Caenorhabditis elegans: one gene and its partners. The protein of the gene in region 1 purifies or fractionates together with the protein of each later gene. This does not show direct contact. Each region holds a gene or a part of one and is shown in the gene's direction. Other genes may lie near its edges. The genes, in order: osm-6, dyf-11 and che-2.

What was found.
Region 2: the proteins of osm-6 (region 1) and dyf-11 purify together in Caenorhabditis elegans (affinity purification with mass spectrometry, with the first as the bait; one study listed by BioGRID). This does not show direct contact.
Region 3: the proteins of osm-6 (region 1) and che-2 purify together in Caenorhabditis elegans (affinity purification with mass spectrometry, with the first as the bait; one study listed by BioGRID). This does not show direct contact.

The regions. Positions count from the first base shown.
Region 1 is NC_003283.11:11,925,475-11,929,231, reverse strand, and holds the start of osm-6 (Intraflagellar transport protein 52 C-terminal domain-containing protein), read left to right. Parts: upstream 1-1,785; 5' UTR 1,786-1,825; coding exon 1,826-1,855; intron 1,856-1,903; coding exon 1,904-2,019; intron 2,020-2,401; coding exon 2,402-2,489; intron 2,490-2,567; coding exon 2,568-2,688; intron 2,689-2,737; coding exon 2,738-2,870; intron 2,871-2,958; coding exon 2,959-3,100; intron 3,101-3,147; coding exon 3,148-3,234; intron 3,235-3,346; coding exon 3,347-3,466; intron 3,467-3,511; coding exon 3,512-3,621; intron 3,622-3,757. Other genes in the region: F58H1.2 (uncharacterized protein), read right to left, coding at 76-127; aman-2 (Alpha-mannosidase), read left to right, coding at 316-1,066, 1,118-1,400.
Region 2 is NC_003284.9:762,007-765,763, forward strand, and holds the start of dyf-11 (TRAF3-interacting protein 1), read left to right. Parts: upstream 1-1,745; 5' UTR 1,746-1,762; coding exon 1,763-1,903; intron 1,904-2,132; coding exon 2,133-2,291; intron 2,292-2,672; coding exon 2,673-2,819; intron 2,820-2,875; coding exon 2,876-3,339; intron 3,340-3,575; coding exon 3,576-3,705; intron 3,706-3,755; coding exon 3,756-3,757.
Region 3 is NC_003284.9:479,339-483,095, forward strand, and holds the start of che-2 (WD_REPEATS_REGION domain-containing protein), read left to right. Parts: upstream 1-2,111; 5' UTR 2,112-2,112; coding exon 2,113-2,276; intron 2,277-3,226; coding exon 3,227-3,315; intron 3,316-3,410; coding exon 3,411-3,521; intron 3,522-3,573; coding exon 3,574-3,757.

The DNA.
Region 1 (3,757 bases):
AAGGGATTAAATAATATTTATCATTTTGTACGCATCCTAGTGCAGTTTATGAAACAAAATATTTCAGTAACTCACCTGAAACTGCGGATACAGCTAGAATAACTGCAGCTGCATAGAACATCACCATTCCTGCGTAGAAGCGCGAAATGATACAAATCAGCCGTTGACATGATAAACAAGTGATTGAAATAAGGCGATTTGGGTCAAGAGATGCATCCGTTCTTCACTCCTCTTCACTCTCTCACTTCTCATCCCTTCAAAATCTAGGCTTTTCCTCCAAATCTTTTGTTCGCTTTAAAAATGTTTTTCTTTCAGTCGCAAATGGAAATGAAGACAACCCGGCTGGCGCATACCTGTTCCTTCCCGATGGAGAAGCTAGAGAACTCAAAAAACAATCAAGTGATTGGATATTGGTAAAAGGAGAAGTTGTTCAAAAAGTGTTTGCAACTCCAAACAATGATCTGAAAATATTGCAAACGTACACACTTTATCAAGGGCTTCCATGGATTGATTTGGATAATGAAGTTGATGTACGTTCCAAGGAGAATTTCGAGTTGGCACTGAGATTCAGTTCTTCAGTAAATAGTGGTGATGAGTTTTTCACTGATCTCAATGGAATGCAAATGATAAAAAGGAGACGACAAACTAAATTACCAACACAGGCCAATTTCTATCCCATGTCTGCTGGTGTTTACATTGAAGACGATACTACCAGAATGTCAATTCATTCGGCACAGGCTCTCGGAGTTAGCAGTCTCTCGTCGGGACAAATTGAAATAATGCTTGATCGACGACTTAGTTCAGATGACAACAGAGGTCTTCAGCAAGGAGTTAGAGACAACAAACGAACAGTTGCACATTTCCGTATTGTTATTGAGCCGATGTCTTCATCGAGTGGTAATAAGAAGGAAGAACGAGTTGGATTCCATTCACATGTTGGTCATCTCGCTACGTGGTCTCTTCATTATCCTCTTGTCAAAATGATTGGAGATGCAACACCAAAATCTATTTCTTCGAAAAATGTGGAACAAGAGCTGAACTGTGACCTGCATCTAGTGACATTTAGGTGTTAAAAAATCTGAAATCTACAGTAACCCTCATCTTTAATCATTTTCAGAACACTGGCATCGCCGACAACTTACGAAGCCAACGAAAGATCTACGGCAGCTGAGAAGAAAGCAGCGATGGTGATGCATAGAGTTGTTCCAGACTGTAGATCCAGGCTTACCCTCCCAGACACGTCATGCTTAGCTACTGGATTAGAAATTGAGCCACTCAAATTGATCTCGACACTGAAGTCTGCGAAAAAAACGTCACTAACCAATCTTTATGAAGGAAACAAGGCTGAACAATTCCGACTCCAACCAAACGATATTTCCAGTATTCTTGTATCATTTTAATTTTATAATTGCTTATATGTAGTAGTTATATTTTCAGTTTTCATTACATTTCATGGGTATTTATTTATTAACTATAATCTTGTATAAGACGATGTAATTATGAAACAACGATTTCACACTTCCGGTTTTCATGTAAAATTTTTTTCGTTCCAAATAAATTGTTATAAAATTAATTACATCTTTCATCAAACTTCAAAAATGAAATTGCATTTTTAATAATTAGGAGTCTATTACGGAATTCATTAAATTTCAGAAAACAAAGTTAACTATATATTTCTCTAGTAGTTCCTTTCCCAGGAGACCCTTCCAAGATTTGTATCCACATGTTACCATAGTAACCACTCATTGCTTCTCGCTCACATTGTCTGCTCCCTCTCTTGGGGCTTATATCTCTTTCAAGCTATTACCTTCATTAGTATACATCTATGCCTCCATTTTCAGACGAAAAGATGACTGTAAGTATTAGATTTTAGTTTTCGCATTTTATTATTTCCATTTTCCAGAACCGGAGTATTGGGAGAAAAGTTCTGATTGATCAATCAAAACAGCAACAAATTAGTTTGATTAGTGGTTTTCGTGGTGTGGCAAGACATTTAAAAAGTGTTCTTACTGTTGAAATGTGAGCTTTTTTGGAATATTTAACATTTTATACATTAAATACATAGTTGAAAGATTTACGATTTATGATGAAAGAATACGATACCCGGTCTCGAAACGAATTAAAATCGGATCCTGCGAAGAAGCAGGTTTCTTGTATTTTTGTTTCTCATTTTCTTATTTTGAATTCTTTGGAATAAATATTCAAATTATACTGAACAAATTAAGCTGCTATTTAAAAAATAAAAAATAAAACGAAAAAAACAAAATATTGGAAACTACAGTACTCCTCGAAGTCGAGCAATCCTTTGCGCGGAATTGTTTTGCTCGCGTCGAGACCTGCTACCGTAATTTTTGCCAAATTTGAATTTCTCTCGCAGATAGATAATAATTTTTAAATTCAGAAACACAGAACCAATTAACTTAAATGGATTAGAAGATGTTCGGATGCTTATCATTCCACAACCAAAGACATCATTTGGAACTGGAGAGGTTTAGGATTTTAAATTTTATTAAATTTCATTTGATTGTCTCAGCCTAATTTTAACACCCAAAAAATTAAAATTTAAGATTGAAGCAATATGGAAGTTTGTGGAAGAAGGTGGTTCATTGATGATCCTTTCTGGTGAAGGTGGTGAGAGACAATCATTAAATGAAATGATTGCAAAATATGGAATTACTGTGAATAAGGGTATGTCTTTATCAAATTAAATGAATTACAAAAATCATCAACATTCAAGATTCGGTAATTCGTACTGTATTCCTGAAATATTTTGATCCGAAAGAAGCTTTAGTAGCAAATGGAGTCATAAATCGAGCAATTGCAGTGGCTGCAAAAAAGAATGTGAGCACTGAGCAAAAACATAATTCACAGTGAGTTGAACTATTAGCTTTTTATTTATTTAGGACAAAATTCGGTTTCCGATTTTCCAAAAATAAAAAAGTGATTTCAATATTTCAGAGCACTTTCATTCATTTATCCATATGGATGTACTCTAGATGTGAATAATCGTATGTCGAATGTAGTATTGTCTTCTGGAAGTACAAGTTTTCCAACAAGTCGCCCAGTTGCCGCTTTTCATGAGACAAAACTCAATGAAATGGTATTAGAATATTCTGAAATTGGTACATTAATTCATATTATTTTCAGAAAAAGAAAGGTAGAGTGTGTGTGGTTGGATCAGTCTCGATGTTTCATGACACATACATCGATAAGGAAGAAAATGGAAAGATTTTTGTAAGTGTATTTTTGATATGGTTCGAAATAAACTTCCCCGGTTGGTTGAGGCGTGCAGGATGCGCCTCCCACCCGCCTCTTAACTCGCCTTATTGGAAAATTTCAATTTCAGGATACATTTGTGGAATTCCTGGTCAATGGTCTTGAACTGAACACGATAGATGCTGCAGAGCCGGAAATTAATGATTACACAAATATTCCAGATCATATTCATATGTCCCAGCAGATCAAGGTTTGACTTCAAAAAATTATACTTTCTAGACAAACTAACAAACAGGTTTGTATGTACGAAGGAGAATTGGATCAGGCAATCAGTTCGGATTTCATGAAGATTATGGATACTTCGTTGCATTCTTTTAATTTGAAACATTGGCCAATGACTATAAGGTACTGTGCCCTAAATACTTTCCCCTGACTACAGAAATATGTTTGTTATTACTAAGAAAAAGATTCAAGAATCATGCTTTCGAAAATGGAAACACGGTTTTACCCAATCACCAACTTTGCGATGTTTTCCTGAAAA
Region 2 (3,757 bases), on another chromosome or scaffold:
TTCTGGGGGTTTCCGAAGATTTTGGATATTCAATATGTAATTTCAAATATGAAGTCTCTTCAACGAAGAAAATATCAAACAATTTATTTCAGGTGCTGAAGCTGGGAAATATAATATAAGAAAAACGGGAAACCCCCGTTCACATTGACAATTATGGCTGAATGTACATACCCGAATTTGAGTTAGTTTCGCGCGCGAATGATGTTTTGCGGAAATTCAATCTTATTGTTTTTTGTACATATATATGCTTATTGTGATTGATTTCTTTATATTTTGTTGATAGTTTTCTATATACAGAAAGTTTTCAAATATTTTTCAAAAATGAACCTCTTTCTAAAAAATAATGGACCTTCTGGAAATTTTTCTAAAAATTCATGGCGATTCAAATTTCATTTTTTAATTGAATTTTCATTACTGAAAACGGACTTTTCTCGGTTTTTTTCTTCAATTTTTGAAACGTGCTGAAATGTACTATTCAATAAAATCCAATAATCCTGAAAAGTAGACCACAACGTAGCACACACGAGTAATTAGCGTGTTCCCTTTTTTTGTTGGTCTCTGAAATCGTGGCAATACGTGGATTCAAAAATTCATAAAATATGACGTCACAAATTTTTACATAGTGCAATTTTCATTTAAAAAATCATCGTGGCGTCAAAGCATTAAAGCCATGTGGCGCCCTAATTTCCAGAGGTCAACCTAAGATGGGACAATCTAAATACCCATAACCACAAGAAAGTAGAAAAAAAAATGGATTGTATTATTATGTTTGTCCATATAAAAAGATAAATAAAAATTAGAATTATTGACCAAATTAGTTTGTTTTTTTTTAAATAAGTAGTCTAGTATACTTGTAACTATATATTTTTCTAACGCCTACTACAAATGACGTCATATTCAATTTCAGCTGCCTTAAACAAATGACATTTTTTACGTTTCGTTCATATAGCCTATTTCACGTTTTTGCCTACTATTCTAGATTTTGGAACTTATGTTTTTTTTTAAACGAAAGTTATAAGTACCTCAATATTAAACAGGAAATTATAAATTTAAACATATCTCTACAATAAATGTTAGCATTCGGCTTATAAACAATTTGTTTATGTTTTTATCAAATAAAAACAGTGTATATTTAAATAAAGGATTATTTCTATTTGATTTCCACAATCGCGGGAAACCTCTGAACATTAAATCATAATTTTTGATCTACATGAGAAGCTTCTACTTTGTTTTTATAGAGCTAAGAACGAGTCAATGAAAAAATTATATTGTTAGATGAAGATTGTTTTCCTAAAAGTTTCGATGTGATTTTCATAATATATGTAAATCTGCTAAAAACAAAATTTTCCACGATTTCTTGTACTGGTCGCAATTTGACCACCATTTATAACATTCCAGTCTACTTTCTTCTTTGTTTTCACCCATTTTTCTGACGTATTATATAATCAGAAAAAAATACAATATATTGTGCGAAAATTAAAGAATTGTAATCAGTCACAAAATACCTCAACTAAGACACATTATTCTGCTGCTCTCATCGTCTCACGCACTCTTTGCGCGTAAGGTGGTCTCCATGACAACGTGCCCCCTGCCTCAACAACTCGCCACACAGCGCCACCTGATATTAGCGTGCTCTCTCTCTCTTGCGTGTATTACCGCTGTTTCATTCCTCTTTTTTGTCAGCATTTTTCACCTTAATATTGTTTTTCATGTATTTCATGTTTTTCGCAACTTGTAATGAGATTTTTGCAGTAAAAGTGCGATGAGCGTTGAGGAAACTCGGGAAATTCTTGAGAAAGTAATTCAAAAACCACAACTAACTGATCAACTGCTTTCACGACCACCATTCAAATTTATTGTTGATATAGTTAGCAATGTGATAAAGTCTACGGGGTATTTGAAGGTGGGTATTTGAAAATTTTATTCATAATAAAAAATTATGCGCGAAAATGTAGATTTTAAGAAATGTAATGTGGTATGAGAAAAAAAGAGAAAAAACCAGTGCCCAACTTTAGTTTTAAAGTTTTCGTTTGTCAGTGATGCGAAGTTTTTGGTCAGTGCTGTGCCAAGTTACTCAGTGCTGTGCCAACTTGGTCAGCGCATAAATTTTCGCTAAATTTTCATTTTAACAGACTGACTTCACCGACGATGAAATAAAGTCCGCTGGCAACGACAAAAACACCAAAACTGCCTTTCTTGACAAGCTGATCAAGATTCTAGATGACGGAAGTCTCAAAAACGTCAAAGCCGCCAAAATAATATCGGGGAAGGACGCGGAAGAAACCAACAAAGTGAGTTTACATTCTATTAACAAGAAATATCTGTAATGAAAAAAGAAGGCGCAGAATTTTAAACAGAATTTACAATTCGATGTGAAGTCGCTTCAATCAAATTTTAAAAAATCTGGTCAATCAGAAATTTTTTTTTAACTTAAAAAAAAAATTCGATTTCTTCCGTAAATTATATCAAACTAAATTAGTGCCCTAATCATTTTTTCTATTTAAATTTTCTGATTTTTTGTGATAAAAATATGCTTAATAGTAAGATAAAGTATTTAAGCCGTTTTCAACTTGGTCAGTGCATTACCAGATTGGTCAGTGCTACACCAAGTTAGCCATTGCTTTCGCTCGTCTCAGTTCTTAGTGCTTTTTTTACCTTTTACATTTATTCAGATGCTGCAAATGTTGGGAACAAATGCTACGAGTTTCAATTCAAGGAATGGTACCGGAGAGGAGAAAAAGAAGAAAAAAGTAAAGAAAGAGGACAAAAAGGGAGATGAAGAAGAGAAGTCAACTACTAAAAAACGTAGCAGTAAGAAGGTAGAGTGCACTTTTAAATATTTGTTTCCCCATAAACTCAGTTTTATCATTTTAAGGAAACGCATGAAGAGAAGGAAAAATCGGAGAAGAAAAAATCTGCAGAAGAGAAAGAGAAGAAGAAAAAGTCTTCGAGTTCAAAAGAACGGCATAAGTCTAGTGACAGGTCTAGCGAAAAGTCAAGCGAAAAGTCCAGCAAGGAGAAAAAGAAGGAAAAGAGCACAACAGACGAAAAACCCAAAAAGAGCAAAAAAGACCCGAGTGAACGGCATTTTAAACGACAAGACTCAATGATTGCTGTGAATGGAGATGCACCGGATACTCCGAACAATGAGAATGGAGATGAGGGTTATGACGATCATGAGATTTCTGAACCAACTGTTATATCAAATATGGAAACTGATTTGTCAGCTCAATCACTACTGATCCAACAGCCAGTGACGTCACCCTTGAAAACTGATGATAGTGGGATGGGTGAGAGCCCGAGAATGATCAAGCCCGAAGATAGACCCCCGTTGATAAGGTAACCTCTTACGGATTGGGTTTATCTTCAGTTCATTTTAAAAAATGTAGTGCACACTTAAATAATTTTCTGAAATTGAATTATCCGGCAAATTTTTGGCTTCAACATTGTTGGTTTACTCCTTCTTTGACCAACATTTTTTCAAATTCTAGAATAAGTTGTCAAAGTGAAATTTACACTGAGATTGAGATGATGATACACACAGTTTAATCAGCTTTTGACATAGAAAATTCCAGACCAATGACTGGTGCTGGAGGTGGTAGACCTATGACATCAATGGGAAGACCCGGAACCGCGGCTTCAAGGCCAGCGCCTCCAAAACTGAAAAAGAAACAAATTGCGACTGTTGACTCAACGCCACAAGTGGTAATAACATTGTTAATCAGTTTATTAATTCAATTTTGATACCACTTTAGGT
Region 3 (3,757 bases), on another chromosome or scaffold:
AAAAGATAGTGTGAACTAGGCCCAATAATGTTTTGTAAGCCAGTTCTCAATGTTTTCTGTTAGAAGTGTCACACATGAATGAGTCTCGCCACGAAAACTGTAAAATGGTGCATTCGAATTTTTCAGAAATTCTGAAAACTCAACACTTACGGATTTTTCCAAAATTACAGAAATTCAAATATTACGAATTTTTCAAAAACTCCGAGAATTCATAATTTTCAAAAAAAAAACATTACTTAATTTTTTGAATGATTTTCTCTTTTTTTTTGGAAATTTTCTCAAGTTTTCGTGACGTTTTATTTCAAAATTTGCTCGTTTGGGTCTATTCGTTTAAAATTTCCAGATCCGTTACTCCTCCTATAAAAAGTAATGTGGGCCTGTCCAAACGTTTAAATTTTTTACAAACACCCATTGTGTGTTTAGGTTTTTCCTGTGTACCACTACAAATAAAGCACAAACTTTCAGTTATAATAATGGTCACCCGCAAGTTCATTCAAACTCGTGTTCAAGAAATCTTCAACAACCGAAACAAGTGTCGAGTACTCCATATGTACCGAAATGCCATTCAATGCTTCAACCTTTTTTTCTGCAGAGATTTTTTTGCGATTCTGCGCTACCAGGAAGACTTTTTCAAGTTTGAAAGACTCGAAAGCTTTCTCAGCTACGTCTATGATCCTTATGTCGATTCTTTGAGAGACGTCTCATCAAAAGCGTTTTTGGTGTAGGAGAATAGAATTTTCAATGGTTTCATGAAATTCGGTTTTTGAACATTTTCTTTATTTATGTAGTTAATTATTATTTCTTGTATCTAATTTTTTTGATGTTTTATTAAATCCACTTTAACAAATTTAGAAAACATTATTTTCGTGGTATAATCGGAAGTTTTTATTTTGATTCAAACTTGACACCCAGTCCAAATATTTAGACAAAAAACTTTCAAATGTCCTAAATTTTATCAAACAGCTAGAACACGCATTTTTTTCACCAACAAGCATTATTTATGTCCAGATCAGGGGTGGGCGTCAATTTCCGTTTGGCAATTTTTTTGCGGCAAATCACCAAATTGCCGGTTTGCTGATTTGCCGGATGTTTTTAATTCCGGCAACTTGCCAGTTTGCCGACTTGCCGTGAAATTTCATTTTCGGCAACATGCCGATTTGCCAATTTGGCGGAAATTTTTATTTTCGGCAGACTGCTGATTTGCCGGAAATGTCTAGGGGGATTTTTTTATAAGACACTGTGCCTTTCTGTGAATTTTTTAACGTCTTTTCTCAATTTTTCATAAATTTTTTTACTTTTCAAAATAGATGTGGAAACATTTATAGGATGCCTACAATGTTGTCGATTAAAATTGAAATTCCGAAATTCCAAAAAAAAAAAAGTGCAAAACCGCAATTTGCCGGAAATTTCAATTCTCGAAGTTTGACGATTTGCTGATTTACCGGAAAAATTGTTTGCCGCCCACCCTTGGTCCAGATGAAAAGTGCAATTTCTAATTGACTCTGTCAACATTGTACAGAATAAACAGATTATTTCAAAGATTGCATTCACATTTAGGTATACATTTTTAACTGCATCTAGCTCTCAACCTTCAGAAATAAACAGGATTTGCTCCCCAATAATGATCCGATGATCAATAGGCATTACGAGCAGTAGCTCGAACAATGTACACCAAGTTATTTTTCAAGTACTACAGAATTTCGGGTCTTAAGCGGAACCGAGTAATCGTAGAAATCTCCCGAACAGTGGCGTATGCCTAGTACCGTCAAATGTAATTTAGATAAAAAGCAACAAAAAAATTCTCAGTTTTGTCTTCCATGTCTGTTTCAATTTTTTCTTTATTGAAATTTTATTTAAACAGACAAAAATTTGAATCTCCCTCATCTCACCAGATTCTTTGTTGATGTACACCTGCGGTGGTACTCTACTATTAGTTCCTTCTCCTCCCGTCTTGCCGCAGCTCTCTGAATTGCTGCCAGCTGGTTGTCATGGTGACTGCTCGCGCATGGCTCAGCTAGTGTTTGCAATACGTTTTTGGTTTTTCGTTAATGAACCCTCAGAGATTTGGGCTAATCAATTATTTTCTACAATTCAGGCTTTCAACTTTGCAGAATGAAATTAAAACTATCGGCGTCTCGGAAAACACGCCACACAGAAATGGTTTGTGGGGTGGGATGGATAGGCACCGAGGCCATATTGTCGGCAGCCGATGATCATGTTTTTCTGCTAACAAATACCGCCACAAATGAATCTCAACAAATTTTGAATATGCCGGAGTGAGTTTTTTTTTCATCATTGCGAGGCGAAATGCGACTACTCTAAATTAAAGGTGGGGTACCGAAATCTAGGAAATATTTTTAATTGATTCCAAATTTGCCCCTGGTTCACAATATTTAACTAGGGACTCTTTTTTGGTGACAAAAGAGTTATGGGACGAATTATATATTTTCTGAAAGCTAATACAATGCTCATATCGAATTCAAAATAAAACCTTGCCCAAATTGATGCTAAGACAAATGTTGTCCTCCGAATGCGTATTTAGGTTAAAATGTCATTGTTTTTGAAGCTTCATATCTCGATGGACTTCAAAGGTACAAAAAAATCAATTGACAAAATGTTAAGAATAACACAAAAATTCCATTTGATATGTTGCGTACTCCTGTAGTTATAAGCATTTAAAATATTAAAATTTAGCTTAAAATTTCATCGTCTCATATTTCGAAAGGAAATGGAAAAATTAAGTGTTCATATTAATAAACAAGGAAAAAATATATGGAGAAAATCATATAAGGCAAACGCGCTCAGAGGATTATTTATTTCTGTGCCTATTTGAAAAAGAAACCGGGGCACACATGAAATGTGTGATTTAAAGCTCAAATATAAAATCAGGGATTTTTTTTTGAATTTTTCACATTGATATTTGGAACCATAGGCAAATTTGGAGTCATTTAAAAATATTTCCCAGATTTCCGTACCCCACCTTTAAGTATGTACATACATATGTATATATTTTAATTTTTATAACAAAAAATCTAATTTACTTTTAATTACAATAAAATGATTACGATTTCATATCAACTGACTAAATTTGACCGATTTTCTCAGCTGCAATTAATTAGCTCAATGCAATAGAATGTTGCAGCTTTTGTGGTCTGACAATTAGAACTGCAGCAAAAACAAAAACTTCAATCAAAGAATTTTAAAAAATCAGAATTTTATATTCCAGAACTTTCTTCCCCACGAGTCTTCATATTTTTCCACGTTCCCAAACTAAAGGTGGTCAAAATGATGTGTTTGCAGTTTCAACTTCTGATGGTAAGTTTTTCTTTTGTATTTTTTTTTCATTCTTAACGAAAATGTATACGTATGGGTTTTGTTTCAAACCCATAAACACCGAAAATGAATTTCAGGAAAGATAAACATACTTTCGCGAAACGGAAAAGTTGAAAACATGGTAGATGCTCACAACGGAGCAGCTCTCTGTGCTCGATGGAATTCTGATGGGACTGGATTGTTGTCAAGTGGGTTCAATACTAAAATTTCAAAAAAGTATATAAAGAAAGTCAGTTGCAGGCGGAGAAGATGGGTTTGTGAAAATGTGGTCGCGGAGTGGAATGCTGCGTTCAGTGCTGGCTCAATTTGCAACAGCCGTTTACTGTGTGGCATGGGACTCTACGTCTTCCAATGTTTTGTACTGTAACGCTGACCATTGTTATATCAAATCGTTGAAAATGCAAGTTGCTCCGATAAAATGGAA